Linked DNA regions of Drosophila melanogaster. The protein of the gene in region 2 interacts with the protein of the main gene of each other region in a pairwise test. Each region holds a gene or a part of one and is shown on either strand. Other genes may lie near its edges. The genes, in order: CG15141 and sol.

Evidence for each region.
Region 1: the proteins of sol (region 2) and CG15141 interact in a two-hybrid assay, tested with the Drosophila melanogaster proteins (2 studies listed by BioGRID).

The regions. Positions count from the first base shown.
Region 1 is NT_033779.5:17,402,930-17,419,050, reverse strand, and holds CG15141 (uncharacterized protein), read right to left. Parts: upstream 8,411-16,121; 5' UTR 8,271-8,410; coding exon 7,433-8,270; intron 7,403-7,432; exon of another isoform or gene 7,366-7,402; coding exon of another isoform or gene 6,868-7,365; intron 6,812-6,867; coding exon of another isoform or gene 6,464-6,811; exon of another isoform or gene 6,418-6,463; intron 6,257-6,417; coding exon 5,880-6,256; 3' UTR 5,552-5,879; downstream 1-5,551. Other genes in the region: Dif (Dorsal-related immunity factor), read left to right, coding at 1-563, 677-1,059, 1,405-3,366; Rsph9 (radial spoke head protein 9), read left to right, coding at 6,464-6,811, 6,868-7,365; Polr2J (RNA polymerase II subunit J), read left to right, coding at 8,747-8,799, 8,874-8,963, 9,021-9,195, 9,258-9,293; CLIP-190 (cytoplasmic linker protein 190), read right to left, coding at 9,646-9,692, 9,752-9,960, 10,028-10,158, 10,226-12,055, 12,110-13,566, 13,629-13,695, 14,211-14,321.
Region 2 is NC_004354.4:21,341,455-21,357,233, forward strand, and holds the start of sol (small optic lobes), read left to right. Parts: upstream 1-8,825; 5' UTR 8,826-9,154; coding exon 9,155-9,396; intron 9,397-10,180; exon of another isoform or gene 10,181-10,307; coding exon of another isoform or gene 10,308-10,312; intron 10,313-10,405; coding exon 10,406-11,031; intron 11,032-11,298; coding exon 11,299-12,211; intron 12,212-12,639; coding exon 12,640-12,959; intron 12,960-13,025; coding exon 13,026-14,614; intron 14,615-14,686; coding exon 14,687-15,193; intron 15,194-15,252; coding exon 15,253-15,519; intron 15,520-15,590; coding exon 15,591-15,733; intron 15,734-15,779. Other genes in the region: fliI (flightless I), read left to right, coding at 1-1,811, 2,047-2,197, 2,321-2,731; dod (dodo), read left to right, coding at 3,997-4,054, 4,166-4,498, 4,868-4,977; peng (penguin), read right to left, coding at 5,110-5,295, 5,503-5,978, 6,077-6,479, 6,548-7,250, 7,852-8,297. UniProt on the Drosophila melanogaster protein: Has a role in eye development. Calcium-regulated non-lysosomal thiol-protease.

The DNA.
Region 1 (16,121 bases), on a different chromosome or scaffold from region 2:
GAATGGTGGCGCCACCGGCGGAGGCAGTGTGGCAGGAGCTGTTGGCGGAGGCGGTGCTGCACATCACATATTATCGCAGTCGACTTCCCTGCCGGTAATGCCGTCGCACATTCCGCTCCACCTGCAGAATCAGAATATGAATCAGAATCTGCCCGAGCCAAGTGCAAGAAGTGGTCCCCACCTGCGTATCGTGGAGGAGCCGACAAGCAATATAATCCGCTTTCGCTACAAATGCGAGGGTCGCACCGCCGGTTCGATTCCGGGCATGAACTCCAGCTCGGAAACGGGCAAGACCTTTCCCACCATCGAAGTGTGCAACTACGATGGACCCGTCATCATCGTGGTCTCCTGTGTGACGAGCGACGAGCCCTTCCGCCAGCATCCCCACTGGCTGGTCAGCAAGGAGGAGGCGGATGCCTGCAAGTCGGGCATCTACCAAAAGAAATTGCCGCCAGAGGAGCGGCGGCTGGTGCTCCAAAAAGTGGGCATACAGTGCGCCAAGAAGCTGGAGATGCGCGACTCGCTGGTGGAGAGGGAAAGGAGAAACATCGATCCCTTCAATGGTGAGTCATCTTATTAACACTTTACTTAAGGATGTTAAAACTATATGATACCTCCTGCAATTCAAACTATAATAGTTCCTACTATTATTTTAGTAACTATACTTTCCTTTCAGCCAAATTCGATCACAAGGACCAGATCGACAAGATCAATCGGTATGAGTTGCGCCTCTGCTACCAGGCCTTCATCACAGTGGGCAACTCAAAAGTGCCCCTGGATCCCATCGTATCCTCACCGATTTACGGCAAGAGCAGCGAACTGACCATCACCCGGCTGTGCAGTTGCGCGGCCACTGCGAACGGCGGCGACGAGATCATCATGCTGTGCGAGAAGATTGCCAAGGACGACATCGAGGTGCGATTCTATGAGACGGACAAGGATGGACGGGAGACGTGGTTCGCCAACGCAGAGTTCCAACCCACGGACGTGTTCAAACAGATGGCCATAGCTTTTAAGACGCCGCGCTACAGGAACACCGAGATCACACAAAGTGTTAATGTGAGTTCAGTTTTTTAAATAAATAATTTCAATACTTTATTTAAACTTATCTCTGTTATCTAAAAGTGACTGAATTGACATGTGCATGTCGAGCGGCAATTTAAAAAGTGCAATTAATGAATAAAATAGAGCACTTCTCGATGCTGCACACAACGGATTTTCCATATGTATCAATGGTTACAATAAAAAAAAAACAAATTTAATAACGTAAAATAAACTGAAAATAGCATTTGCGCTCTAAGTACCATTAATCGAATACTTGTACTTCCGAAAACATTAATTTTCCGAGTTTAAATTTTTTGCACGAATGAAATAGAACTAACTCCACTTTTTCCCCCCTTCCAGGTGGAGCTGAAACTAGTGAGACCCTCGGATGGAGCGACGAGTGCCCCACTGCCGTTCGAGTACTACCCGAATCCAGGTACAGTAACCTTTGCCCGGCTACAGCGAAAGTTGAAACGCCGCCAGGAACTGGACGTGTTCCAGCAGATCCTTTCCCTAGACAGCGAAACGACGGCCACGAAATACTCGTGCCCACCGATGGATCTGGAGGAGGATAATAACACGGTTTCATCCGATGACCAACAGAGTTCGGGAACTCTCAACGAATTCGAGATAGCCGTCAAGAAAATGCAAATGCGTCAGAGGGGTGAATCGCACGAAATGGATGGTGGCACTGTCACCGAGTACACGGATAACGATAACGAACCAGATATGGAAATAGAGCTGGAGGTTCCGCAATTGTTGCCCCAACTGGCCGATGACTGCACCCAGACGTCCACGCCGATGGAGGAGATTCTGCAGCATCCGCAGCTGCAATCGCGACCCCTGTCCAATGTGGAAACAATCACCGAGTGGATGAAGAGCAGCGAGTTCGAGAGAACGGATAGCCTGACGGTGGAGAACGGGGACACGCAATCCCTATCGAATAGCACGGCCCAAACAGCATTTACCAATGTCAGCAGCTTGACAGCCAATACGACCATAACGAACCAGTTGGACGAGGAAGCCCACGGTCTTTTGGCCAATGGTTCTCGCAGGGATACCCTCGAGAATCCGGCCGTGAAAGAGCTACCGGAAAATGAAAAAGAACCGGAAATGGTTTCAGCCAGTGCCCAGGCCTCTATGGATTTAGATGAAAACTTCGATGAGACAGCCACATATACGAGCCTACAAATAGCCTTTAATAATCCCATAGACATAGGATTGCCCAAAGAAAGCAAACAAGCAGCCCCCATTTATCCACCCACCAATCCGTTTGGTCAGCTAGATGATGACGAACTGGTGGTGCTGACAAATCCACCAGCTCCCAGGATCAAAGTGAACGCTGCTCAGACACCAGCCACGCCCCCAGCCTCACCGCCCCTGCCATTGCCACCTCGAACTCCTTCCCCAGTTTCAGATCAGAGATTACCTCCCTTACCACCGAAACCGCAGAGAAACTCCCAGGATCTGAGTGCTGTCAGTGATTCAATTTCTGTGAGCCGCTCGCGAAACGGCAGCCTAAGCTCCAATAGAACTACACCTTCGCCTATAATTATAATGCGAACCCCTGATCAAAGTCCCACCAAAAGGCAACCGACGCCCAGTGCTTCGCCAAAGAAGCGTCAGGGATTCTTCTCGAGATTCTTTTCTCGCCGAAGGAGCAAGACGGATGACGAAGAATCTCTGACACCTGGTGGCAGCCCCAATAAGCAACTACCAGGGGGATCGAAAGCCACAACACCCACCGGCAGTAGGGAACCAAGCGTTGCGCACTTTTCCCTGGGAGATCCCAATCGCAGCTCCACAAGATCGATGCAGCCACTGGGAAAAAGTGAGGGTCGAAATGGCAAGCCAGTCGGTCGTAGTTCGAGCAGTGTATCGGGTAAAAGACCTGCCCACCTGGATGCGGATGTTATTCACATACCATTGAAGGGAGGCGATAGCGAGAACAGTTTGCTACGACCGGAGAGCTACTCGAATGCCAGCACCCTTAGTTACGGTCGACCGCTGGATAGGAAGACCCTGAGCACTCTGCAACTGGCGGATATTCCCATAAGTGACGGCAATATGGAATTGATTGCCATCGCCGACAGGCAGAGCATCAAGAATCTGTGCGAGGGAGCCTATGGTGTTGTGCTGGATCCCAGTGTGGATCTCTCCGAGGCGGAACACTTTGCTTTGTACACCAGCAAAAGTCCGGAACCACCATTTGGCGGGGAGTGCGGCGAAGGTGGAGCAGCAACTGGTGGAGTGGATACGACCGATTTTTTGAGTGCGGATGAAATAGCACGGCGGCTGGCGGAGGCAAATGGCTTGGAGTAGATGAATTGGGTTACGGATAACTGATTTGAAGACAAAATGGGATAACGAGATATTTTCTTAAATGTGCGGATTTATAATCGAATCAGTTAACCAAAACCCTAGCATTAGTTAGTGCTTAACAGCAAAACACACAACTGCACCAACAAATTAAACTTTTCTAGTCGTCTTTTTGTTTCAGTATTAATTATAATGATTACACAAATTTCTAGCTAAGAACCCCTGAGATCGATCGCTCACCAAATTCAATTGTATACGTATCTTTTTTTAATCGACATAAAATTTAAATATCTTTGTAGAACTCCTAACCAAACACAATCGCCGTGTTGCCCAAAAAACAGTTGAAAGCCTAAAGCGCAGTCTCATGAGCACCAATTTACATCCATCCAAGCAGGTTAAAACCTCCAGTAAGTTTTCACGAATTTTCCGCATTTATACTGGTGCCGGGACTGGGTTTCTTTATAGAAGCATTTCATCTGTGCAGTTCCTAGAAAAACTCATTAACCACACAAAAATACACAAACTCATCACTCGATGGTGTTATTTATATTGACTAGCAAAAATGTTTGCTGAAAATTCACTATTGATAGTACAGGATTGAATACCTTGTGGACCAATGGATAAAGTTGTTGTCCGTCCCAGAATTGTTGGGAAATGTAACGTTGTAGTCGAAGAACCCCATTAATGAATATATAGACCGTTCGAATAGAAAAATGTTTGTTTCACCCGTTCTTATTGTATTCAATATTAATGAATAAAAGATTTTCGTAAAAGTCGTGGCATTGAACTATTTTGCAATTTCTTAAAATTTTAAAATGCTCTTGCCTGTAAAGAAATCAAAAAATAATGTTATAGTTAAATGTTTAACTAGCGATTATATTCGTCCGTTAACAATAAATTATATTTAATAATATTTATATTATTTTATACGTACTATTTAAACTTTAAAAAACTTTTGCTGCGACTTCAATTTTTCATCTTATTAATTAAAAGTTATTAGATCACCAATCTCTAAAAAAGTTTATTAAAATAAGCAAAAGGTTTGAATGGCAAGGGTATCTTTAAGTATTCGGACAACCGAAAATGTGTCTACCCTTCCAATTTTTGTCTAGTTTCCATCAAACTCCATTTTTGCCACCAAAGTTGGACATCAAATAATGTAAGTTGATACTGCCAAGGCAGGTTGATGTTGTGGCTTGCTGCTGTTGTCCCTTTTGAGTTCTCGCAAATTGCTTTAGTTTTACCTGAGTTTTATCTTAATTATGCTTATCTTAATAAAAGCATTTTAAGTTTTGAAACGCTTTTCTCGTTAATACTGGAAACACAAGGCTAACAACTTTTTATTTATTTTCTAGGCCAGTATACGATATTTTCCAAGCCACAAATTGCGACCACAACACCGCAGACACAGGTGTCGCCTGGTATGCCTTTGATGTTTCCCGGCGGAAGTCCCAATTTTGTGCAGGATATCAAGATGGAGAATGGATTCATGGATGTGGATAGCCAGAGTAGCCAGTGTCCATCAGTGGAACGCAATTTCGCTTCGCCTCGATCCAACTGCAGTACAGTGGATAGTATTCCGCCGATGCAAATGGGGCAAAATCAAACTCATCTTTATTTGCCAGATGCCACAAACTTCACATTTAATGGGAATTTCGCATCGCCTTCGTCCAATTGCAGTACAGTGGATAGCATTCCGCCGTTTCAAATCGGACAGAGGAATAACCATATGTATCTGCCGGAGAATTCAAACTTTCCGGTAAACGGCTGTAGTCCTACCCATTTCAGTGGTGGCTCTATGACACCAATCAATAATAACAACAATGTACTAATTAATAACAATAACAATGACTTTTTAAGTCAGAAAATGAGTGCCATAAGCATACCGCCACAAGGAAATTTTGGCATTAAACAGGTATATCAACAGACTCAGCAGTTCCTGCCGCAATTGCAGCCAGAGTCCATTCCATATCTGGCCCAATCCCATCCAGAACAGTCGCAGTACCAACAGCAACAGCAGCCACAGGAGCAGCAACCTCCAGCAGATGAACCCACCCAATCGTTTAGTGATCTAATTTCCAGCAGCATAGGCATGGCGCCCATTGACACCAGCGAACTTATCCAGGACATTGAGGCAGAACTCAATAGCTTGGGAATTCAGCCATTCAAATGAACAACAAACTTTGCTAAATACTAGTGTACATATATTTCATAAAATATATCGGAAATTAACCAATTAGAGCTACATGTAAAAAGGTCTCAATCCAAAATGAACTTCAACACAAAACCTGTCTTATATAATTCTATTTTACCGCAATGTACATAAATTTAATGAGGGAAATGCGAATCTCATTGCCCGATGCCTTGTTACGACTTTTCGTTATTGACAAAAGTGAATTGAAAATGATTATTGTTTAAATAAAATATAACTTTAGAATTTACATGATGTATGTATGTATGTTTCGCTTTCATGGGGGAATGTGGGTAATACTAGAGTAATATAGAGTGCTAACTGTTTAGCGACAGAAATAGGGCTGACCCAGGTTGGCATTGTTCTCATTGCGCATGCCGGCAAAGAACCGATTGATATCCTCCTCGGTCACTACCTTCTTGCTGGCGGCGAATGCCTGCAGGTATTCCTTTAGCTTGTCCTTCATGCGATTGTATTCGGTAATCGCATCGATTTGCTGTGTCCGGTCAATGGAGGCCAGTGCCCGGATTCCTTGCTCATAACTGGAATTCTCTTCAGCCCGCTTCATGCCGCGCTCCTCGTACGTCTTAGCCGAATCCTCGACATCCAGCAGAAACTCCACGGCAAGTTCCTTGTAAAGCGACAGGCATTCGGAGCACTGACAGAGTGATTTTCGCCAGTCATTTGTCCAGAAAGCAGCTCCTTGAAAGAGAAAGGGTAGAGATGAATAAATGGGGGAAATTGGCAGTTCAAAGAGTTTGTGCTGATTTATGCATGCCATGTAATTAAAAATCCATTCCGCTAACATATTTTTTTTTACGGTTCTGAGTTTTCTTTCAAATACTCTCAGCACTTAAATCCATATTTTATTTCAACACTTCACATATAAATTGCTAAGATACTTTCGTCATGAATTTGGAGTTCTTCACCGAGGGCCTCGACTGCCTAATGTACTGCGGCATGAAGCTGTCGCCGGAGCAGCGCATCTTGATTGAAAACTCGCTGATCGCTTTACAAAATGACAATCGTTTTACGGGCATGTATCTTTGGGGTCGCATTACGGCCACCAAGAACGATTACTACATTGCCTTTGGCTACACTAATGACTGTCTCAAGGATCGCAAGTATTTCTACAGTCTGGACCAGTTCCAATGGCAGTTGCTGCCGTTCGTACAGAGCCCCAAGATATTTCAGGCGACTATATTGGCAAGGGAGCCATTTATAGGAGATCCCAGCCTGATGACCTACGTTAAGCTGGTGAGTTGATAGTACGTAAATGTGGTGGTGGTTTTTCTGATATTGTACGCACACAGGACCCCACTTTTGACATCGTAGGCAATCAGGTGGCTGGTATCAGCCGCCCTGAAGTGGTCAAGCTTAAGGAGGAGGAACGGCTGGCAGCCATTGTGTTTATTATAACAGAGGAGTGTGCCATTTGCCCACGCGGAGCCTTTTACAAGATGACCGATGGTCGTGTTATACCCAACCAGATGTTTCGTGGACTGAATGACTTGCAGATCGACAACCAATCATATTACCAGCTCTATCGCCTGCCCCGCAATGATCTCAAAGTCAATTTGGCCAAGAGGAGCGACTATAACTATGCTATTGACTTTCTGGACACCATTGACTGCGTAATACCACTGTGTCAGGCTTTTGCCCTGAATATGCAACGGAACGAGGGTTTGGTAATAATCAAGTCGTGCCTTTGGTTGGGCATGACATTCTTTCACAAAATCAACTCCCACAAGCATGGTTTCCTTTACTTGGGCGATGGCAAGAAGAACTTTGACTTGCTTTTCATGTATTAAGGTTGCTTTTGCATAAATATGTTTTTTTTTTGAGCATACGCATGTATATCTATATTAATTTACTCACCCTGATGCTCCTTGGTTGGTTTGGGCCGACGACAATCGTCCAGTTTGGCGCGCTTCTGGCTGGGTTCGCCTTCGTCTGGCTGAGATTCACCTTCAGGAACTTTCATGATATCGCAGATGCTGCGGTCCAACTCGTTCTTCAGCTGGCTATCGTCAGCCTCCGGCTTGTCCTCCTTCGCATCTTCTAGCACAGGCTGCAGGGCTAATCCAGTGTAGTCCTTTAGGAAGGGTTTGGCATCCATGCAGCCATCGCAAATCATTTCGCTGCAGACATCCAGCCACTTGTCGCTGGCGCCGGGCGCTTTCATGTGCGGCAAGTGGAACCAGTCCTCGCAGATGGCGCACTGCAGCATAACCTCCTCAACGGTGCGATCGGGATCGGGATAGGGTCGCTTGCACTTGCAGTACAGCCCCTGGAAGTTCTGGTTATACAGATTGCCCACGTTACGTGGTTGAACGCCCTCGACTTGTGGGTTCAGGGAGCACTTGCCCAGACGCTGGGTGGGACAATCGCAGCGGAAATTCCGCTTAGTATAGAGCTCCACCAGTTCGTGGTGCTCGTGACAGCGATAGGAGCAGGCCAAGCAGACTCCTGCGGCCTTGTCCAGATCCTCGCGCGCCTCGGGGCAACAAGTGAGGCACGAGTACAGAGCCTGTCGGCCGATGGGGCCCTTGGCGTAAGTGCACGACTTCTCATCGGAGGCGCCCAGCACTGCGGCGTACTCGTCCTCCAGCTCCTTTTCCTGTTCCAGGACATCTAGCATCGTAATGGTCGACTGCTCCAGCGGATTGGACTCCTCAACCTCGTGGACACCATCTGTGGCATTCGACTCGCTCATGTCAGCTGTTTAATAATGTATTTTTAGCTTGGCTTCGTGTCAGTTTCTCGAAAGTGGCGGAATGCGCAGCGTTTGGCGCGATTGGATAAAAATTTGCAAATAATTCAACCACCGAAACCTAGGGATGGCCCACAACAGCTTGTCTATGCGATAGGTATCGGCTGCCAGTGTTGGTTGCAAGAAGTGATTAAGCTATTTATTTAATGACCAAAAAACATAAGCAAATTAAATTATTTTCAAATTCAAAGTACAAGTTTTATTTTATTTAATAGATGCTCACATTAAAAATGATTTATAAAATACTAAAATAAATTAGCTAGGCGTTCTAGCTACTTTTTGCTAGATATAGCTACTTTAGCTTGTGTTGCACTTGGGCGTTAGTCAACACTGTACCGGAGAATTTTGCTGAGCGTGCTGCTGATTTTAATAAACAATTTATAAGTTTTGCAGTAACTAACGAAAAGTAAGACATCAAAATGAACGCACCACCTACCTTTGAGTCATTTCTGCTCTATGAAGGCGAGAAAAAGTGAGTAAAGAAAACAGACTACTCCGAATGACCACCTTTAACCCGTTTTTATGTTTGTTATGGCGCGGCTGCAGAATCATCAAGGAACTGGACACCAAAGTGACCAATGCGGCTATATTCACCATAAACAAAGAGGATCACACGCTGGGCAACATGATCCGCAAGTATGTTGGCCAACAAGCCCGTCTGATTACACATTAAATTTGCATTCTTGCCTGCAGCCAACTGCTGAAGGATCCCAATGTTCTGTTTGCCGGCTACAAGGTTCCGCATCCTCTGGAGCACAAGTTCGTCATCCGCATCCAGACTACGGCCGATTATTCTCCGCAGGAAGCATTCATGAACGCCATAACCGATCTTCTAGCAGAATTATCTCTCTTCGAAGAGCGTTTCAAAGTATTACCTGCACAAAACGTCCTCGAAACATTTCTTTAATATCCATGTTTCTCTGATTTCAGGACGCCATCAAGGAGAAGAAGGAGGGCGGCGATTAATCATATAATTACCAATTAATTCCTTAGTCTTATGAAAACCCAATAAAAGCTTCTTCTTCCACGTTCTTGATTTTATTTTTTACACTATGTTTACACTCAAAAATTACGAAAACAACCGATTGTGTGTTTGCCACGAATCGCATTCAATAAATAAAAACAATTTAAAATAGACTACTATCCATGGATGTGTGCATAACGCAAGATCACAATTTTAAGTAGAGAAATTTCTTTGTGTGATTGAGTGAAGCTCTGCTGAGGTAAAAGTATCTCATCTGATAGATCTCGCAATATGGTTATGCTATAGAGTCTAAAACAAAGTAAAATGGAAATAATAGAATTTAACTAGAGCTAACTAATAGGTTTCATCATCGGCACATTCGCTCGTATCGTGGCCAAAAACTGTAATTGGGAAAAACATTGTTAAATGTCAGTAAAATTTGATATTTTATTTTACTCACCCTCGCAGGAATCACAGTATTTCCTGGGTGCCGGCAGCTTCCGCTCCTTCTCGTTGTTGTTGGACTCGGATGACGGTGTGGAGTAGTCTTGATCTTCGCTTCCCTGGATTGGACAATCCTCCGTATCGTGCTGATCAAACTCATCGCAGATGTCGCAGAAAAGTCTGGGAGCCGGTTTCCGCTTTGTCAGGGCATCGAAGGCATGAGGTCTTAAATATATTATATACATTTATGAACGAAAATGCTTCGACCGAGATGAAAAAGAATTTAACTCACTTGGTGAAATCCATTGGCAAGGTTTCAAGGGTCTGCACCTTTGCCTTGAGTGCATCATTCTTCTGCTGCATGTCAGCAATAATTGAGTTCAGGAAGTTAATCTTGGCAAGACTGGTTTCGATGTCCAGTGACTGGAAATTGACAAGGCCCATTGTTTGCAAAATATATAAAATATTAGCTTAAAAAAAAGAAACCCACCTCCACTTCATCACCCTTTCCGGACCTACTGCTCGCACCATTCATCTGAGCCTTTAGGCTCAGAACCTCCCTCGACTTCTCCAGTTCCAGCGATTCCAGCTGGCGCCTCAGTTCCTTAGTCTCCAGATAAGCAGTCTTTTGGGCATCGTTGGCTTGACGGAGTGCGGTCTCCAGTTCCGCAACTCTATTTTGTAGCTGTTCCAGCAGCGCGGATTTAACGGAAGCCGCATCATCCATCTCATCAATGACTTTCTGATATTCTGCCAGCTGGGTGTCGAATTCATTACCCTTTTCCAAAAGTAACTGCTTTTGCTGAAGGGATTTCTGGAGCTCTTCATTAGCCTGCTTTAATTGGCTCAGTTGCTCCGCCAACTTGGATGTTTCCTCTTGAAGAGTCCTCTCCTTTTGCTGGGCCTGTTCTAACTTATCCTGAATTTCGTTGTGGCTCTTCTTTTGACTTTCTAATACAGTATTACTTTCATCAAGTTTGCCCTGAAGTTCTTTAAGGCCATTCTCTTTTTGACACAGAGCCTCCTTAAGCTCCCCATTTGCTTGCTCCAGTTGTTGTAGTTTCTCAGTGACTGCCAAAGATTCTCCTTGCAGATTTCCCTCGTTTTCTTGAGATTTAACCAGCAACTCCTGGAGTTCCTTATTTGTGGCTTGTTGGGCATCCAACTGGGAGGTGGCTGCTTGGAGTTTTTCCTCCAACACCTTTACTAGTTCCTCTACTTTTACTAGGGAATCCTTTATGTCTCCATTGGCCTCTTGCACTTGCTGCAGCTCACCGGAAAGTTTGGCAGCCTCTTCCTGCAATTGTTTCTCCTTCTTCTGTGACTCTAGCAATTGATCTTGGGTTTCCTTTAAACAAGAAGTTTTGTTTTCCAACTGAACATTGCTTTCATTTAGTTTCGTGTTCTGCGCTTCTATGATGGAACTGCTTTCCCTAACCTTTTCTTCCAAGTTCTGGACAAGTTCTTCCTTTTGCTTTACAGAATCTTGGAGTTCTTGCAAGGATTGTTGTATTTCCGTAAGTTTCTCCTTGGAAGTCTGAGACTCCTGTTGCAACTTTTGTTCACTTTGCTGAGCTTGCTTCAATTTCTCCTCCAACTCCTCGAACTTTTTCTGTCGCTCATCCAGTTGCAGATGGGTTTCCTTTAGTTCCTCCTTAATCCCAGTAACTTTTTCGATCAACCGCTCTGAGTTCATATCGGCTTCCATTTCAAAGAGCTCGAATATGTGATTTGTTTCACTCTTCTCCGCCTGAAGAACTTCCAATACAGTGGAGAGCTCCGCATTTGTAGCTGATATATTGGCATTAGCCACCTGGATGGCTTCCACAAGGGTCTTAAGGTCGGCAATCTTCTGCGCATCTTCGCTTGCCATTTTTTCCTTGTGCTGGAGCTCAGCATTGGTGATTTCCAGTCGCTCCTGCAGGTCCTTTATGGTCGTCTGTGTGCCAGTGCTTAGCTCTAGATTCTCCGTCTTGGCCTTAGTGACTTCTTCCTGAAGATTCTTTATAGATTCCTCGAAAGACTTTTCTTTCCGCTCTCCCTCTGCTTTCAGCTTTGTTTGAGAGTCTTGACTATCTTGAAGTTGCTGTCGCAGCTCCTGTAGTTCCTTCTCTTTTTGCAGCATCTCCTGGCTCCAGGCATCGGCTTTGCTGGTCAGTTCCTTGTGGCCGGTAGCTATTTCATCCGAGAACTTGGACAGCTTAGTATGGAGAGCACTGGAGGACGATCGTTCAGCTTGAAGCTCAGCATGTAGCGTATCGGTGATCTCCTTCACCTTATCTTGCAGATCAGAAGCCTCCGCTCGGGATTCCGCGTATTCCTGTTTAATTAAAGAATGACAATAACTATATCGTCGTTTATTTCACAGACTTACCTTGTTGACCTTCTCCAGAGCTGCATTTGCGGCTTCAAGTTGCTTAGTTTTGGATTCCACATCCGTATGACATGAACTGAGAGCTGCCTGCGTCTCCCCTACTTCAGATTTAAGTTTGGTAATCTGTTCCAGCAGATGGCCTGACTTCTTGGCTTCCTCTTCTAGGCTGCCATTTGCTGCCTCCAATTGTTTGCTTTTGGCTTCCAAGTTGGATTGGGTGGATTTTAACTCGGACTGAGTTTCTTCAGCTTGGGACTTAAGCTGACTAATCTCATCGTGCAATTTGGCCACAGTTTTGGATCCCTCTTCTCCAGATGCGGCAGCCTGTTGCTGGAGTTGCTCTAGTTGTACTTGTACGACTTTTAAAGCACTTTCGGATTCAGCTGACTTGCTTTGGAGCTGCTGGAGCTCCTGCTCCTTTTCCTTTATGATCGTTTCCTTTTCTTTCTTTAGTTCTTCCAAAGCAGCTTGCAGTTTTTCATGACCCAAAGTTTTCTGCTCCAATTGCTGTTGCAGTTTTTTAAGGGACTCACCAGATTCAACTAATTCAAAATCCTTCTGCGTGTTCTGAGCTTTGATTTCCTGAAGATGAACTTCCGATTCTGACTGTTTCTTTTGGAAGTCCTCAAGTTCGTTTTGTTTTAAAGCCAATTGCTGTTCTATGGATTCTTTTTCTAGTTGTATTTGATTGATTGCATTTTCAGTCATTTCCCTGACTAGTTTTTCTTGTTCCGCCAATTGCTTTAAATCTGATATCTGTTTTTCAAGTTGTTCCTTATCATTTAGAGTTTTCGCAGCTTGTTCTTTGCTTTGAACTAGCTCCTTTTCGGTTTTCTCTAAAAGAGTAGATTTTTCTTCAGTACCCTCCTTTTGCAATCGAAGCATATCATCCAGAGCAGAACTATCCGCTTTTTGTACATTTAGTTGTGTGGTAACCTCATCGAGTTGTTGGTTTAGCTCTCTGATTTGCTCATCCCGCATTCGTACTTCGGTTTGAAGAATTTCACATTCGTCGGTTTTGTTAACCCTTTCGCTTTCCAGGGAATCGGATGTTGCCTTCAAGTTTTGCAATTCAGAGCTTAATCTTAACACCTCTACGGATTTTTCGGCTAGTTTTCGGGTGAACTCAGCCTGAGCCTCCTGAGCTTGCTTTTCGTTCTCCTCCTTGAGAAGTTCGAGTTCCCTTCGGAGATTCTCGATGCCACATTCCGAGAGGGAGAATTTCTCCAGGGCCTCATCTTTGGACACCAACTCGGACTGTAGAGTGGCGATTTGCTCATTAAGGTACTTTACATTTTCCCTCAACCGCTGCTCCTCCTCCAGCTGTTCCGCAATCCGAGATTCAACCTCCTTCTGCTGAATGGTCATCTTTTCCTGCAGCTTGGCGATTTCCTCCTGCAAAGCACCATCGTCTGAAGGTAGATCGGGCGGTAGTATACTTTGTAGGCTTGGCGTGGCTAAGGAGGATGCATCAAGGTATTAAGCATTTTCACTTGGAATTTTAATTGTTATTCCTTACCGGACACCAGTTTTGTGATTTTTGACTCCAGATCATGGATTTTTTCCTTGTAAACCTGTGACTGAGCCTATTATATAGGAATTATATTATTAGTATAGGGGGCCTAGTTTTATTCTCAGTGCATGGAAATGTACATTGACTTGCTCTATTCATTTATTTCCCGGAAGATATATGCGTTTTCCATTTAATAACAGTAACATATTATATTTTAATTGGAATATTAAATATTTTATTGACTAGTTCGTCATATTCTATTGTATTAATACTCAGTAATACTGAGCCGCATGCAATAATTTTTAGAGTTTGTTTTTCGCTTACAAAAGTCAATATTTATATAGCATACTTTTGGATCCAGCAAATGCAATAGCTTGAAAAACGCATTAAAACGAACGATAAGCTTAGTTTGAGATTTTTCCTTGTTGATTTCAGAATTTAACAATCAGTTTAACGATTCTCAATATTAACAAATATATCAAGCTAAACTTTAATAAGAGCAAATATAGTAAACTAAAAATTCTATCGAACATCAACTTTTTAACCCAACAATGTACATTTCCAGACACGACTTCTGTTTGTCCTTACATTCAATTCATCGCCACAAAACTGGGCTTCGTCTATGGAGCACTGCAATTCTTCAGTTTTCTTTCGTTCATTGTCCAATGCCGACTCCAATTCAACGATTCTTGCTTTTAGCTGAGGATCGAGGGGTCAAAGAAATAGGAAAGGAAATTAGCACGCAAGTTAAAACCATAAATAAAACAACATTGGGAGATTGTAAAAATGTTTTGCATATTGTTAGTGTATTTTTCTTCATATATATAGTATTTAAGTGTATATCGTAATAACTAAACCAACAGCAAGAAAAATTCGCTTTCGTCAAAAGAATCGAAAATTGTCAGTCAACTTTTCCATTAACCGTTTTTTTTATCTTTTTAATTTCGTTTTTGATATTTTTACGCCAATCAAACCATTTAAGTTAACTTTATTCGTTTTGGTTTTTCGATTGGCTTTCGTTTTTTTTTATGGTTTCCTTTTTTCATTATTTTAAAGATCTTTAATTCTTTATTTGGTTGTATCAGCTTAAAACGCTGTGCAGACTTCAACTTTGTCTTCAGTGGTTCCTTTCTCGGTGCAAAGAAATGTAATTCAAAAATCGTCGAATCGAATAGTTTTGAGCACTATGGTCGCCCATTCCTCTCATCCGGATTTCTACTTGATGCGCAGCGGTGTGAGGACACTGTGCAGGATGCAGTGACTCTCGTGTTTTCCGGACCAGCCGCGGAACTCGCGTCGCAGATCGGATACCTTTATGCTGTGTCTCGCTATCAGGCGTCTCCAGCGATCCGCTTCGATCAGTATTTGCTATAAGAATCATACAAAAATAGTCTTGTGCAAACAGAATTTCAACTCTTAAGGACCAGCCTAATTTTGTTCAAATTGGTAGTCAGATTATCTTTTTGGTTTTGCGTTAAAAAGGATGGATAGCTTGATCAGTGGATGAGAAAGGCAGGAAAATATGGATTTGGTGTGGCTGGGACCGGGAATTTCAGGTGATAATTTTGTTGCTAATTTAACACTCAAACTCAAAGTGCGCTCGACAAATAGAAAAGTCTAACACGTATCCGCATATAAATATAAACACAAACAATTTATTGAAAACAAAACCAAACAGAAAGCACAAAACTCAATCATCCCACAAGACAGTCGTCTTCTAGAAAAGCCCCAAAGCGGTTGCGAAAAGCACATAAAAGTAAACAGTCCCTTCTTCAAATTTAGGAAACAATAATAGGGTATAATTGTGTGCGCTAGCTTTTTTTCTCCAAACGCACTGTGCGGATAAGCAAACAGTGCAAAAGTGCTAACGTATATAATTAAGAATGCAAATAATTAACAATAGGTTGTTTTTGCGTTTTTCTTGCTGTAATTTCGAGATTGCGTATATGATAATTTAAGTGTAGAAATCTGTGTATCTGAACTGAGATGAACCCATGAAAACTTATTTTGTTATCTTATGCATATTCAATCTTCGCAGATGCAAGTTATTGGTAAATAAAAAATTTTGCGCCAGCACAAAATGCAAAAAGAATAATAATTATTATAAAATGTATGTATACAAGTTGATGTAAAATCAATTTCGTTTGTATACATATCAGCAATAACCTTAACCCATTGTTATTTTAAATTTTGACCGAGTTAAATGCTGTTGAACCCCCAAAACCTTTCATGCCTAGTTAAACTTATGAAATTTGTACTCTTCTCAGCGTTTCAAGTTAATTTGATGAATCAATTTGGGAAAATGACTGGCAATTGGGAATGAGTTGAGTGTCTTCACTGTGGTTAAAGAACAAAACATAAAACGTAACGTGCCAAAAATTAGATGAGTTTGAGTTAAATCAACAACAAATAAACACAAGACAATGATGGGTAAAATCATAAAAAAAAACAGCTGTGTGAAAACGAGAAAATGGTTGTGTGTGTTTGTTTTGTAAACAG
Region 2 (15,779 bases):
GAGTCGCTCAAACCTAAGAGATGGGACGAGTCACTGGAAAAACCGCAACTGGACTACTCCAAGTTCTTTGAGAAGGACGATGGCCAGCTGCCGGGCTTGACCATTTGGGAAATCGAGAACTTCCTGCCCAACAAAATTGAGGAGGTGGTGCATGGCAAATTCTACGAGGGCGACTGCTACATAGTCCTCAAGACCAAGTTCGATGACCTGGGCCTGCTCGATTGGGAAATATTCTTTTGGATAGGCAACGAAGCCACGCTGGACAAACGAGCTTGCGCTGCCATTCATGCAGTGAACCTAAGAAACTTTCTGGGCGCCCGATGTCGAACGGTTCGCGAGGAGCAGGGCGATGAATCCGAGCAGTTTCTGTCCCTCTTCGAGACGGAAGTCATCTACATCGAGGGCGGACGCACAGCTACTGGTTTCTATACCATAGAAGAGATGATACACATCACCAGATTGTATTTAGTGCACGCCTATGGCGCTACCATTCATCTGGAGCCAGTGGCTCCTGCCATTACCTCCCTGGATCCCCGCCACGCCTTTGTCTTGGATCTGGGCACCCATATTTACATTTGGATGGGCGAAAGATCGAAGAACACGCTGAACTCCAAGGCCAGGTTAATGGCGGAAAAGATCAGCAAAACGGAGCGCAAGAACAAATGTGAAATCCAGTTGGAGCGGCAGGGCGAGGAGAGTGCCGAATTCTGGCAAGGACTGGGCATGACCTCGGAGGAGGCAGACGCCGCAGAGCCACCAAAGGAGCACGTTCCAGAGGACTATCAGCCGGTGCAGCCTCGCCTCTACCAGGTGCAACTTGGCATGGGTTATCTGGAGTTGCCGCAAGTGGAGTTACCTGAGCAAAAACTTTGCCATACCTTGCTAAATAGCAAGCACGTCTACATACTCGACTGTTACACCGATCTGTTCGTTTGGTTTGGCAAGAAGTCGACGCGTTTGGTCCGAGCGGCCGCTGTCAAGTTGAGTCGGGAGCTCTTTAACATGATGGATCGTCCGGATTATGCGCTGGTGATGCGTGTACCCGAGGGCAATGAAATGCAGATCTTCCGAACCAAGTTCGCTGGCTGGGATGAGGTAATGGCCGTGGACTTCACGAGAACGGCGAAGTCGGTGGCCAAGACAGGGGCTAATCTCACACAGTGGGCTCGGCAGCAGGAGACGCGCACGGATCTTGCCGCGCTATTTATGCCCCGACAGTCGGCCATGCCATTGGCGGAGGCGGAACAGTTGGAGGAGGAGTGGAACTACGATCTGGAGATGATGGAGGCCTTTGTACTGGAGAACAAGAAGTTCGTCCGGCTGCCCGAGGAGGAATTGGGTCGCTTTTACACCGGCGAATGCTATGTGTTCCTCTGCCGCTATTGCATTCCCATCGAGGAGCCCGAGAATGGCTCCGAAGATGGTGCTAACCCAGCCGCAGACGTCAGTAAATCCAGCGCCAACAATCAGCCAGAGGACGAGATCCAGTGCGTCGTTTACTTTTGGCAGGGACGCAATGCCGGCAATATGGGATGGCTCACGTTTACCTTTACACTGCAGAAGAAGTTCAAGGCGATGTTCGGCGAGGAGCTGGAGGTGGTGCGGATCTTCCAGCAGCAGGAGAACCTCAAGTTCATGTCCCACTTCAAGCGGAAGTTCATCATCCACACCGGCAAGCGGAAGGACAAGGCGCACACCGCGAAGGGCAAGTCGCCAGTTGAGTTCTTTCACCTGCGATCGAACGGCGGTGCGCTCACCACTCGCCTTATCCAAATTAATCCGGATGCAGTGCATCTCAACTCAACCTTCTGGTGAGCAAATTACCAATAATTTATTACTGTGGGTGGTAATAATCACCCAGTTTTTTTTTTTGAGATGTATGACAAGTGCGATTTTATTGGATCAACATTCTTGTCTTATCGTTGGTTGAAACTGAAATTCCTGGAAGCCTACGTGATATGACACAGTATTATTTATATATATCCAAAAGATAGCGAACATAGTAGTAGTCGCTCCAATATTTATATTCCATACGCATTATTTCAGCTACATACTCCATGTGCCATTTGAAACGGAGGACGATTCGCAGTCGGGGATTGTGTACGTGTGGATAGGCAGCAAGGCCTGCAACGAAGAGGCCAAACTGGTGCAGGATATTGCCGAGCAGATGTTCAACTCGCCGTGGGTGAGCTTACAGGTGGGTTCCATGTGTTAATGTGGTTCAACCATGTAGTGGGCTGTTTTGTGGAATATATTGTACATATGTTTATATTAAGGTACACGCTCTTGTTAATCGTTTCTTTTCATCCATCCTTTGCAGATTCTCAACGAGGGCGACGAGCCGGAGAACTTCTTCTGGGTGGCGCTGGGCGGCCGCAAGCCTTACGATACGGACGCCGAGTACATGAACTACACGCGGCTGTTCCGGTGCTCCAACGAGCGCGGCTACTACACGGTGGCCGAGAAGTGCGCCGACTTTTGCCAGGACGATCTGGCCGACGACGATATCATGATCCTGGACAACGGCGAGCACGTCTTCCTGTGGATGGGACCGCGTTGCAGCGAGGTGGAGGTGAAGCTGGCCTACAAGTCCGCCCAGGTCTACATCCAGCACATGCGGATCAAGCAGCCGGAGCGGCCGAGGAAGCTCTTCCTCACGATGAAGAACAAGGAGTCGCGCCGTTTCACCAAGTGCTTCCACGGCTGGAGCGCCTTCAAGGTGTATTTATAATTTTAGCCAACTGAAGGAGCATCGTCGAGTAGTTCTTTTAAATTTCCCTAATTCATGCACCGCCGCTATGTGGCCATTTAGGTCTCCGCAAGGAAAGCGCCTAAAAGGCGCTAGTTTTTGTCTTGCTTGTCTCGATTGGCGCCTTCGAGTCCCTGTCAGAGCTAGTGAATCGGCCTCGGGAAGTGCATTTATTAACCAGAAGTCGAAGAGCACGCCTGCAATGTGAGTTTAGTTTTATGAAATGAATAGAGGCACCTTAGAGGTGTTACCCACTAATCTTAGCCCGTTAGAGGAGCCCCATCGAGTTGTAAATTGGTCATTAAGCATTAAGTTAGACCTCTGTTAGCCGGATGCGAATGTTGTTCGCTGGGAAGATGCGCTGGGCAGCTGCCGTGACAGAGTAGCTGCCCCAGAAGACATGACAAAGCAAAATTGTATCGAGGGAAAAAGAATGAAAGGGCCAAGCCAAGCCCTTCCTTCAGGTCGTGAGTGAAGATCGTGTGTTTGTACTTTTATAAAATGTATTTAATTGTTTTGTATAATTAATTTAAATTTTTTTATTAGCTCACTTGCTCCCGCCCCTAACTAAATAATTAGCTAACTCCAAGAACGCCAAGTATTCGCCCACTCCCTGCGAGAAAACCACATGAGTATATTGAATGCAAATATACATACATATGTATGTATATCACATATGCCTACAAATACGCAATATATATATATATATATATATATACATACGCTGAGCTGAGAGGATTACTCCCCTGTGCTAGTCCTTTTAAAATGTTAACCTACTTAAAGCTAGCCTGTAATAAAGTCAAGGAAGCACTAAAACTAATTGTACAAATGCCCACGTATTTATTTTATTTTTATTAATCCCCTGAATAAACATTAGAAAAATTGAAATTCCTCTATTCGTGTCGCGGATTGAAGGAGGTATTGGAATAGATTTAATTAAGTTATGTGCTAATTTTTCGGCAAAAGATACATATAACATATCAGAATAGCACATATCAGCACATTATTGTTAGTTCGCTGCTATTATATTGGCCTCAGCTGTATCTGCGGTTAGCGAGTGCACCCACCGCAGTTAGCACGTGCCAGCACCTTATTTGGCGAATTCGCCACCATGTGTATCGATATGTCGATGGCAGGCGCTATCGATTTTGATGGATGTTCTCAAAGCGTGTTCGGCGCGGTCACACTGGTGGTTTATTTTATTCCGAAAACTATTTGTAATTTAACTCAAATTAAGTGAAAACAGCATGCCAGATGCCGAGCAACTACCGGACGGCTGGGAGAAGCGCACTAGCCGCTCCACAGGTAAGCATCGTGTGCAGTCCCGCTCGTGCCATGCCGGCGGTTTTCCGGCGGAATGCGGAACCGGCACGCTAAACTGAACCTGCACTTGATTGATCATGATTGATTTTGCAGGAATGAGCTATTATCTCAATATGTACACAAAGGAGTCGCAGTGGGATCAGCCCACAGAGCCGGCGAAGAAGGCGGGCGGAGGATCCGCCGGCGGCGGAGATGCACCGGACGAGGTGCATTGCCTGCATCTGCTGGTTAAGCACAAGGGCAGTCGGCGTCCCAGCTCGTGGCGCGAGGCGAACATCACGCGCACCAAGGAGGAGGCCCAGCTGCTCCTCGAGGTCTATCGCAACAAAATCGTCCAGCAGGAGGCCACATTCGACGAGCTGGCCCGCTCCTACTCCGACTGCAGCTCCGCCAAGAGGGGCGGCGACCTGGGAAAGTTCGGCAGAGGTATGTATATCTCCCCACTGTGCATTTGTCACACGTCCAGGATCGAGTGGTCCTCGATGTGTGTCCGTTTAGGAATAAGGCGCTTCCCACTTGAGGCGCAATCCAGAAACAGATTGGTACTTCCACTAGAGGCTCTGATTGTTTTCAATATTCAAGAGAAGAGAAGAGAAGATATATCGACCACTAATAGATTATAGATGCATAGTTATAGACAAACACTATTTGCAATTGGCTCCGCGGCATTTCTTTTTTAATCTTCCTTACCTTACACATTTTTGTACCTATAACTTCGCGAGCTACTTGCAATCGTAGAGTTTAGGCCACCCAACCGACCTGCAACTGCTTCTAATTACATTTCACATCTCACAGGTCAGATGCAGGCGGCTTTCGAGGACGCTGCCTTCAAATTGAACGTCAACCAGCTGTCGGGCATCGTCGACAGCGACTCCGGCCTGCACATCATCCTGCGCAAGGCATAGACTCATCGAGCACCGACCCACAGCACAACTCGCGTCCCTTCACATGAATAAAACGGAATGCCCAGCCATTTCAATATAGAATTATTTATTGTATTTTAAAATGTTAGGTCTTGTCTAGGCTAGAAGCGTTTCTCATTTGCCAATGTCCAGTTTGGCGGCCAGTAGCTTGGCTCCGGGCGTCTTACGGTCCGCGAGTATCTGGCTAAGGCTCCTCTCCGCCGCGATGGCTTTCTTGCAGTCGTCCAGCAGTGCGGGACACTCCTCCACCAGCTTGAGCAGGACAAAACAGGCCCGGTTGACGCCCAGCCAGGCTTTCAGCTGAAAAGGGAAAGGGAATCGCAATTAGGAATTGGAATCTGAGTGAAGCTGTTTACTTTGCGACTACTTATTTATTAGACTAAAGCTAAAGGAATGTCGAAACGTCATTAAATAAAAGAAAAAACTCAAAAGTACGATGCGTTTCTCATGACTGGGAAAAAGGAAGATACCCTCGGTTACCGGATGGCATGATTTTTGGGTACTTACCACATCGGAGGACAAGTTTTGGAGTAGCTGTTGGCTGAACGGGGTGCCCTCTCGCTTGCCATCGTTCTTGAGTATCTTCTTCAATACAATGTGCATGCCGGCCTCCTCGATTCCGGAGACCAACGGAGCCGCCGGCTCCTCCTCCTTTGCCTTTGGCTTTTTGGGCTCCTTTTTGGCTTTCTTCACCTTGGGTTCGGCATCATCTGCGGCCGCCTCCTTCTGCTCCTTCTCGTCTCCTTCATCGTCGCTCTCCTCATCTTCATCTTCATCTTCATCTTCGTCGTCGCTGCTGCTCTCGACATAAAGCAGTTTTCTGCGCTGTTTGGTGGCCTGGGCTATAATGGCCTCCACGTCATTGTGAGGCTTCTTCTTATCCTGCGGCTGCGGACCGGCGGCGTCTGCTGAAATGCGCCACTCCGGTTGGACGACGACTTGGGCAAGGGCCGAAGCAGCCTTCTCATAGGACTCGCCTTGAACTAAAAGGCAGAGATGCAAACGTACATTAATATCGTGAACATATTCTTGTAAATCCATATGTATGTTTCTGCTATGGCTTTCAGAAGTGTGCACTTACTGTGATTAAGAATATCGCCGGTGACCAGGCCGATGTGGCTGTTGGACAGCCAAAAGGCGGCATCCTCGGCGATGGACTGTGCAATCGGCGCCTCTATCTGCTCAAGGATCTCCTTGCGACGCAGCTCCTTCTCCTTTTTTCCAAAGGCTAGACCCTCCTCCACCGTGCGAATGAACTCTGGATGGAAGCATGTCGTATCACCCGGAGCCACCAGCCATTGAATCACTCGTCGGCCGTACGGGCTGCTCATTAGCGCCTTTAGATCTCCGTGTAGGTGATCGTAAATTGCCTTCTTGGTCGCCTTAGTGTCGTCCAGTGCGTTTAGCAGCGAGATGAGGAACACGTGGCCGTGCTCATGGTTGGCGATCTTTAGCAGGTGCTCCTTGATATTCTTGATAATGGCCTGAAGAAGGGGTTAGAATACATATAAGATTCTGTTTCATCAACACACGTTATACGTGATCCACTTACTCTGCGATTCTTGGGCGTCGACTTGTAGAAGCATATAACAGCCGCCTCGCTGCCCTCCTTGGTGGACAGCATGTGAGGCACTAGAGCCGCAAACGCAGTGACCGTCTCCTCCAGCTTCTCCTCATCTTCGTCGCAGGCGCGCAGGTACTCCAGCATCACGGCGTGCACCAGCGCACTGTCCACCAGCTGCTTGTTGGCCACATGATCCAGGTTTGCTTTAACCGACCCCAAAATGGAGGCCTTCATGTTCGTGGCCTCCTTATAGGTGTCGCTCAGAGTCTTCACATTCGAATCCTTGGCCTTCCGGTACAGATCGCCGTAGAACTCCTGGCGCATATAGATGCGCTGATTGGGTGTGGCGCTCTGATACATCGAATCCAGCAGCCCACTGCCGATGCTGTGTCCGGCCAAACGCACTATATGTCCGTACAGGCTGTCCACCAGCTTGGCTTTGGTGGCTGGCGCACCGTACTTGAGCATCCGTTGCACGCAGAACTGGGCGTATTTCGACTGGCACATCTCCACGGTGAAGGGAAGCAGCTTCTCAGAGATCTCGGCCCGCAGAGCTGGCGACGCGTACTTTAGCATGCTCTGGATCACGCGGGCGGTGTCGTGGGCCTTCACCACCTTTGAAATAGTGTCGCCCACGTTGAGCACCTTGTATATCTGCTCCACCAGCTTGTCCTTGTTCTCCGTTCGGCGGCTGCAAGACAAGCACCAAATTATGTTGATATATATATATCAGAGCAATAGGATTTGCGCATTCATTAGTTGTAATTTTACGAAAAAAAAAAAAAACGCGACAGAGGATAGAGCTGGTTTGTTTATGACCAAACAAAACAGCATGCGCTAAATAGGCGTCTTTGGAATCTACGCTCTTGGTTCTAACTCAACATTTATACAGAAATACAAGGCTATATTAACTTAGTTTTGATACTGATCAAAATGCTTAACTAGCTATTATTGTTTCAAGAACATGAATAAAATGTTTGGTGTTTTTGAATTCGAACCAAGTGGCAATGTTCGGTTTTTCCACGAACAGGTGCTTCGTTTTGGGATCCACATGGCCATGTTTATCGATATCTTGTCCTTTAAGGAACCAAAATGACTTATAATTATTAAAACTATATCGTATAGATTGATGCCTTATGAAATTTAAACAACTTTGTACGTTCTGAATGTACATAAGTGCATGAAAGAGCCCGATTTTGTTGAGCTATCATAATTTGTATAGGTAATTTGAGCGCTAAGGATGATAATAACCGATTGTTTGGGCTGTTCATCGTGTTTTTGGGGATGCTCACCATCGCAACTTCTCGTGGATCTGGTTGGCCTCCTTGCTGATCTCGTAGGTGTCCTTGGCACTCTTGCGCTTCAGCTTGAGGTCCTTCTTCTCCTTCTTGAACTTGTTCCAGTCCTGTTTCTCGCCCTCCGCCGGCGCCTGTGGCTGTGTTTGTGGTTTTCCGCGGAACTTGTTGCCACCAAGCCTCTTGTCGCCGGTGGCTCCGGATTTGTCAAACTTCTTGAAGCCACCGGGCCCAGACTTGTCGAACTTCTTGGCACCACCAGCGCCTGGCTTTACAAACGACTTGCCTGCTCCTCCGCCGAATTTGTCGAACTTCCTGGCGCCTCCTGCTCCACCGGGCTTAAACTTCTGTCCGTTGGCGCGCTTGCCGGACGATTCATGGGCCTTGAGGGGCGAGGCCGTGTTGGCCACGTTAGCAGGTCCTTTCGGCTCCGAGCTAACCATCTTTGCTGCGTTTTCTTGGACACTACAACTAAATAACAGCAAATGTTTTTGCCAAAAAAGCGAACTACACGTGCTGCTGATGCAGAGTGACCAGATTGTTGCAGTATACCCAAGCTGTGTAAATACCAAAATCTGGTATTTTCGTTCCACATACAGTAAGTATCAATGAAGTGCTTCTATTTGTTTAAAATTTAACTCAAGTTAATGCGTTCAGTTCAATTTGACTTTCCATTTGAAAGCGGCTAAAAAATAATAATCCATGTCTAAATATTAAATTTAAACTCTTCCTAAACTAAGCTCCTCAATGTTGATTACTTGTTATAGAAGGTCAAATAATTTTATGCATGTATTTGCGTCGTTTTATGAATATATGTATGTATTCATTCCCAAAAACATATTAGAATTGGTCTAAAAATTGAAGGTACCGATTTTTCATTAACGGCACTTGCCAACACTGGCTTTGCGGGGTAGCAGCCGTGTTTCTCGCGCTGGCAACCCTGTCCGGCAGAGTTCACGCACTCGGGCAACCTTGTCGTTGGAGGTGTTCGCGAACGTCGACAACCCTAGCGGCAACAGTTAAAAAATGGTGTGAAACGGCGACGGAGAACGCGGCGTGCAACTGTTGGAAGCCACTGCTTGGTCCTCGTTTTGGTCCCGGGTTCTGGTCCTCCTATTGATCTCCATCTCCGCCCGGCCACCAGCTCGAAAGCGCACCTACACATCATAGTTTCCATAGACAGTCCCAGTTCCACATCCACTCCCCCGCCAGCCAGCCAACAACAACAAAAACAACAACAGCAAGAGAAACAACTCAGAAGTCGAAAGGAATCTGGGAACTCCTGCGACTCCCCCGCGCAATGGGCACCATCTCATCCGTGCTGCAGTGGTCGTGCACCAAATGTAACACTATCAATCCCACGGAGTCGCTCAAGTGCTTCAATTGCGGCACCGTCCGCAAGGTGTTCCCCCAACAACAGCAGCAGCAGCATCGCAGCAGCAGCATCACCGCCTCCTGGACAGCTGATGATGCACTGGAGCAGGAGCAGGCGGAGAAGGGGCAGGAGAGGGACAAGGAGAAGGGCAGGGCGGCGGTTGCCAGGTAAGCGAAGCGGTCGCCACAAAAACAAACAGCCTGTATGCCTCCTCTGCGAGGATGTGCCTGTGTGTGTCTGTGTCTGTATGCGTGTGTGTGTGTGTGTATGTGGGCGCCAGTGGTGGCATCCAATTGGAGGACAAAAGCGCTAGCTAAAATCATGTCGCATATGGTAATGTGTATAGAAATCGGTGGCGTTTTCAAATCCAACTTTTTTCGCACACACATTGTATGCACACTTTGGAAAATATACAAATACACAAATATGTACATACTTTCATCGGTAAAATTCGTCAATCAAAAACCTTAACTTTCAAAGAATAATAATACCAAAAGCTTACCAACGTAAGCTCCTATGCTGAACTTTAATATCCAAAGAGCAGACCGAGTAAATCTTAGTAAATTTTATAGTTCTCACTAACCCTTTTGTGCATAATGAAACTTAAAGAATAAGAAAACAATGAAATCGGTTAGGAAAATCCTGATTAACTATCCATAGGAATAACTCGAATGGGAGTATAGGAATAAGTTGAAAGATTTTTATATTACGAACTTAAGTTTCGAAAGGCTAGGAAAAGGTACAGTGTGTACAAGTACACAGTTCAAAAGTCTAGCTTTAAAAGCCAAGCCGTCGGCACTGGTGATTGTCCCTGAGCGTGTGTGTGTGTGTGTGTGTGTGTGTGCGCGAGTGTGTGTATGTGAGAGCATGTATACACAGCAGAGGCAGAAGCAACAACAAAACAGCCGAGGAGCAGCGAGAATTGGGGAAAATCGATTTGGATAAAGAAGCATTGTTTACAAGTTTATCGATTCGCGAACTCGCTCGGCGATCTGAAGAGCAAAAGAGGTGTAGGAACAACTTCCGAGTCGAGCGGACGAGCGGAGAGTAGGAAAATGGCCAGTCATTGAGATAACCTTTGCGGTCAGGAAGTGGGGAAAGCCCAAACAGCTCAAGAACACCGAATCCCATCCAAACCCGACGAAAAACGAAAAACCCCATTTCCCTATTTTGCAGGAGCGAGTACAAGCATGTGTACAAGTCCCTGCTGCGCGGATGCTTGAAAAGACCACAGCGGAACAGCCAGAATCTGCCCGCCAACTGCGTGGATTGCGAGGACACGCGCAAGTACATCAAGAGCTCTATTGAGCTGTACCGCCACTTCTCGAATCCGGCCCTGAATCGGCGGTGGGTGTGCCACGCCTGCGGCACGGACAACAGCTCGGTCACCTGGCACTGCCTCATCTGCGACACGGTCAGCTATCTGGCGCCCATTTACAAGGACGCCATCGCCGCCGACCGAGGCCAGGATCTGGCTGGCAGCCTGGGCAATCGCGGCGAGCTGCTGGCGGCGGACCATTCACATCCACATCATCATCACCACTACCTCCACCAGGAACTGGAGGAGCAGCATCAGCATCAGTTACATTCCCAGCACTTGCATAAGCGCCACCTCAAAGGTAGATCTGCATCCGGATCGGGATCCGGACCGGGCTCGGGTTCTGGACTGCGCCGCACCCAGAGCCTGAGCACCGCTATCGACAAGAGCGCTTCCGGGCGCAGCTGCCACATTTGCTATGCGAACAACCAGAGCAAGGACATCTTCAATCTGCCGCAGATCAAGCCGGCGCCGCAGCTGACAGGTGCGTTCATCAGCTAACGAACTAATGAAAGGTTAAAGGTTACTTGAGGAAATAACTATAAGGTATTCTTATTGGCCAGCCTATCGTTTCCAAATTTTTACTAGAAGAAACTCTTTAAATGGACAACCGAATTATTTAAAGTCTATTCTCTTTTTGTAAAGTTCTTAATCTTAGTCAGATCATGATGAAAGTGTTAGCTTCCCATAACCGGAATGCACGCACTTGTTATCCGATAATCCAATTCTAATCCCTATGTGTTTCTCGCAGGGATTCCCCCCGTGGCCGCCTGCAGCAACTCCCGTTTTGCCATCGCCAACGACACTTTTTGCAGGCGCAAACAGAACAACAATAACAAGAACCAGAATCACAAGGTGGTTCGCGAGAGCGGTGCCAAGCGGAAGTACAACTTTACCATCACCACGCTCTCTCGGTCGGCGGCCAAGGATGCCGGCCATGGCCAAATGAAGCCACTGCGTCAGGTCGTTAATCTAAATCTGAATCTACAGCAGGAGCCGCAGCAGAAGTCACCGGCTAATCCGCAGCAGCTGCAGCGGAAAACCCAGCGGGAGCCAGCAGCAGTGAGTATGAATCCCACGCAGTTCACCATTCCGCGGAACGGCGTCTTCATAGCCGTCAACGAGTGGTCGGAGCCAATGGCCAGCAGCTCCTCCGTCTCCTCTAGCTCCAACCATCATCATCACCATCACAGCAACAGCAATAGCAATAGCAGCGGTAACAGCAACATCATCAACAACAACAGCAGCAGCTCCAGCGGCAGCAACAAGTTGTATGAGAACGAATGCGTGGCCCTGGCCCAGCAGCAACTAAGAGCAGCTGCTGCGCAGGCGGCACAGGCAGCCGCGACGGCGGTGGCCATTGCGAGTTCGCCATCAGCTAAGGCTATGGCCGAACCAGCTCCAACGGCTACCATGCCCATCTATGCGCAGGTGAACAAGCAGCACAAGCTCAAGAAGAAGCAACAGATTGCCAGCGAATCGCAAACGAACAACAACACTGGCAGTGGCGAGATCGCGGATGCGGTCAGTGAATCCCTTACCGCCGGACTAGGCACTAGCACCGATGGCAGCGGCGAGGCCAGCGAATCCGAGTCGCAGGTGGAGGAGCACTCCATCTACGCCAAAGTGTGGAAGGGACCGCGCAAGGCGACCGAGTCGAAAATGTAATTGGCAGCTAGCGTGCGACCGAGATTAGTCCACACCCATCCAACTTCCTATCCCCCGCAGAAGCTTATCAGTTGGCTACGTTTTTATTTTTGCTGATAATTTGCGTGGCGCTTAGTCACTGCGGCCTTCTGTTTGTATTTCGCCCGTCCACCAGCTTTTATTTTTATTCTGCCCGCTATAAGTTCAGTTGTATTATTTAAGCAAATTGTTTATGGGCATGATTTAAATTAATGATTGGCTTGCCACAAGATTGTCACAACTTGGTTGAGGTAATTAATTCATTCGCAATCGTGCTGATCTCGGCTATGACAATCTGTGGTTCAAGTGTTCAATTTAATTACATTTTGATTTCGCCTATCTCCCGTGTTGAATCAATTTTGAACTTGACTGCATTACAATTGATGGTCTTGCTTTCGATTTGCAGTATGCATGATCCAGGGAGCAGCAGCCGCCTATCAGGAGCCGCATCCGCAGCAGCAGGGACCGCGTCAGCTGGAGCTATAGCTGCAGCCGTAGGAGCAGCTGCTGCCTCGCGGCACGACAATAAGACACAGCTTGGCAACGGCAGCCGCAGTAAGATGTGGATATGCATCAAATGTTCCTATGCCTACAACCGACTCTGGCTCCAGACTTGCGAGATGTGCGAGGCCAAAGCCGAACAGCAGCAACAGCAGTTGCAGCTGCAACAGCAGCAGCAGCAGCAGCAGCAGCACCACCACCACCACTTGCAGCAGCAACAGGCAGGTGTGTCATCAGTTTTCAGGAAATAATGTAATGCTTGTGCTATATCAAATACCTAATGCATTCCAGAAGCACCCCGCGACGAGCCATGGACCTGCAAGAAGTGCACCCTGGTTAACTACTCGACAGCAATGGCCTGCGTGGTGTGCGGCGGCTCCAAGCTGAAAAGCATCTCTTCCATCGAGGACATGACGTTGCGAAAGGGCGAGTTCTGGACCTGCAGCCACTGTACGCTCAAGAACTCGCTGCACTCGCCGGTCTGCAGTGCCTGCAAGTCCCACCGCCAGCCGCAGCTCTCGATGGCCATGGAGGCGGTACGGGAGCGACCGGATGGTCAGTCGTACGAGGAGCAGGATGCTGCAGCCGTCGGGGGCGGAGGAGGCAGTGCCCACCAATCGGGCGCCAATGAGGTCAAGGCGCCTACAGCCTTGAACCTACCGCTAACTTCGGTGGCGTTGCCCATGCCCATGCTGCAGCTTCCAACGTCAACAGCGGCTGGTCTGCGCGGCTCACGCAGTCCCTCGCCCAGGATGCAGCTGCTGCCATCACTCCAGCAGCAGAGGAACTCCAGCTCATCGGGCGCTATACCTAAACGTCACAGCACCGGCGGCTCCATTGTGCCACGGAACATTTCCATCGCTGGTCTGGCCAATTACAATTTGCAGCAGGGCCAGGGAGTCGGCTCCGCATCGGTAGTGTCTGCTTCTGGAGCTGGATCTGGAGCTGGAGCTGTCGGAGCCAGTACCAGCACAAAGAAGTGGCAGTGTCCCGCGTGCACGTACGATAACTGTGCCGCTTCCGTCGTTTGTGACATCTGCTCGAGTCCGCGCGGCCTGGCGAGCGCAGTTTTGGGCGAGGCGTTGGGCAGAAAGTCCGTTCGAGTTGCCCTCACACCGGCAGATATTCGGCAGGAGAGCAAGCTGATGGAGAACCTTCGCCAGCTGGAGGAGACCGAAGCGTTGACCAAGTGGCAAAACATCATACAGTACTGTCGCGACAATAGCGAGCTTTTCGTGGACGATTCGTTTCCGCCGGCGCCGAAGAGTCTGTACTACAATCCGGCGAGCGGAGCAGGCGAGGGAAATCCTGTGGTGCAGTGGCGACGGCCGCACGAGATTAACTGCGACGGCGGAGCGTATCCACCGTGGGCTGTGTTCCGCACCCCGCTGCCCTCGGACATCTGCCAGGGCGTCTTGGGCAACTGCTGGCTACTCAGTGCGCTGGCGGTGCTGGCGGAGCGCGAAGATCTGGTCAAGGAGGTGCTGGTCACGAAGGAGATATGTGGCCAGGGCGCATACCAGGTGCGCCTCTGCAAAGACGGCAAGTGGACGACGGTGCTGGTGGATGATCTGCTGCCATGCGACAAGCGTGGCCATCTGGTTTATTCGCAGGCCAAGCGCAAGCAGCTATGGGTGCCGCTGATCGAGAAGGCTGTGGCCAAGATCCACGGCTGCTACGAGGCGCTGGTCTCGGGCCGGGCGATCGAGGGACTGGCCACGCTGACAGGAGCGCCTTGCGAGAGCATTCCACTACAGGCCAGTAGCTTGCCCATGCCCAGCGAGGACGAACTGGACAAGGACCTGATATGGGCCCAGCTGCTGAGCTCTCGATGCGTACGATTCCTCATGGGCGCCAGCTGTGGCGGTGGCAACATGAAGGTGGGTTCTGCGTTATTACAAAGTCTTCTTCTATTTCATATGCTTATGCTCAATTATCAACATCAACCAAAGGTGGACGAGGAGGAGTACCAGCAGAAGGGGCTGCGCCCGCGACACGCCTACTCGGTGCTGGACGTGAAGGACATCCAGGGACATCGCCTGCTCAAGCTACGCAATCCGTGGGGTCACTATTCGTGGCGTGGCGATTGGTCGGATGACTCCTCGCTGTGGACGGACGATCTTCGGGATGCTCTGATGCCGCACGGCGCCAGCGAGGGCGTCTTCTGGATCTCGTTCGAGGATGTGCTTAACTACTTCGACTGCATCGATATCTGCAAGGTGCGCTCCGGCTGGAACGAGGTGCGTCTGCAGGGGACATTGCAGCCCCTGTGCTCCATCTCCTGTGTGCTGCTCACCGTGCTGGAGCCGACGGAGGCGGAGTTTACCCTATTCCAGGAGGGGCAGCGCAACTCGGAGAAGTCGCAGCGATCGCAGCTGGACCTGTGCGTTGTGATATTCCGCACCCGGTCTCCGGCGGCGCCGGAAATCGGTCGATTAGTGGAGCACAGCAAGCGTCAGGTGGGTGCTTCCCATAGCCCTGCAAATAGAAACGCTTCTAACAATTGCGTTCCATTTAGGTGCGAGGCTTTGTGGGATGCCACAAGATGCTGGAGCGGGACATTTACCTGCTTGTGTGTCTGGCCTTCAACCATTGGCACACGGGCATCGAGGATCCCCACCAGTATCCTCAATGCATCCTAGCGATACACAGCTCCAAGCGTCTGCTGGTGGAGCAGATAAGTCCCTCGCCGCATCTCCTGGCCGACGCTATCATTAGCCTGACCCTAACCAAGGGACAGCGGCACGAGGGGCGCGAGGGGATGACCGCCTACTATCTGACCAAGGCAAGTGATCCGGTTGCGAAGGGATCTAGGGATTCGGTGGCCTTACTAACTCGACCGCATTTCCTTTACAGGGCTGGGCGGGTCTGGTTGTGATGGTGGAAAATAGACATGAGAATAAGTGGATCCATGTGAAATGTGATTGCCAGGAGAGCTACAATGTGGTGTCGACACGCGGCGAACTCAAGACAGTGGACTCTGTGCCCCCGCTGCAGAGGTGGGCTCCCAATCGACCACCTAAAATATTCCCCCAACTAATTGCT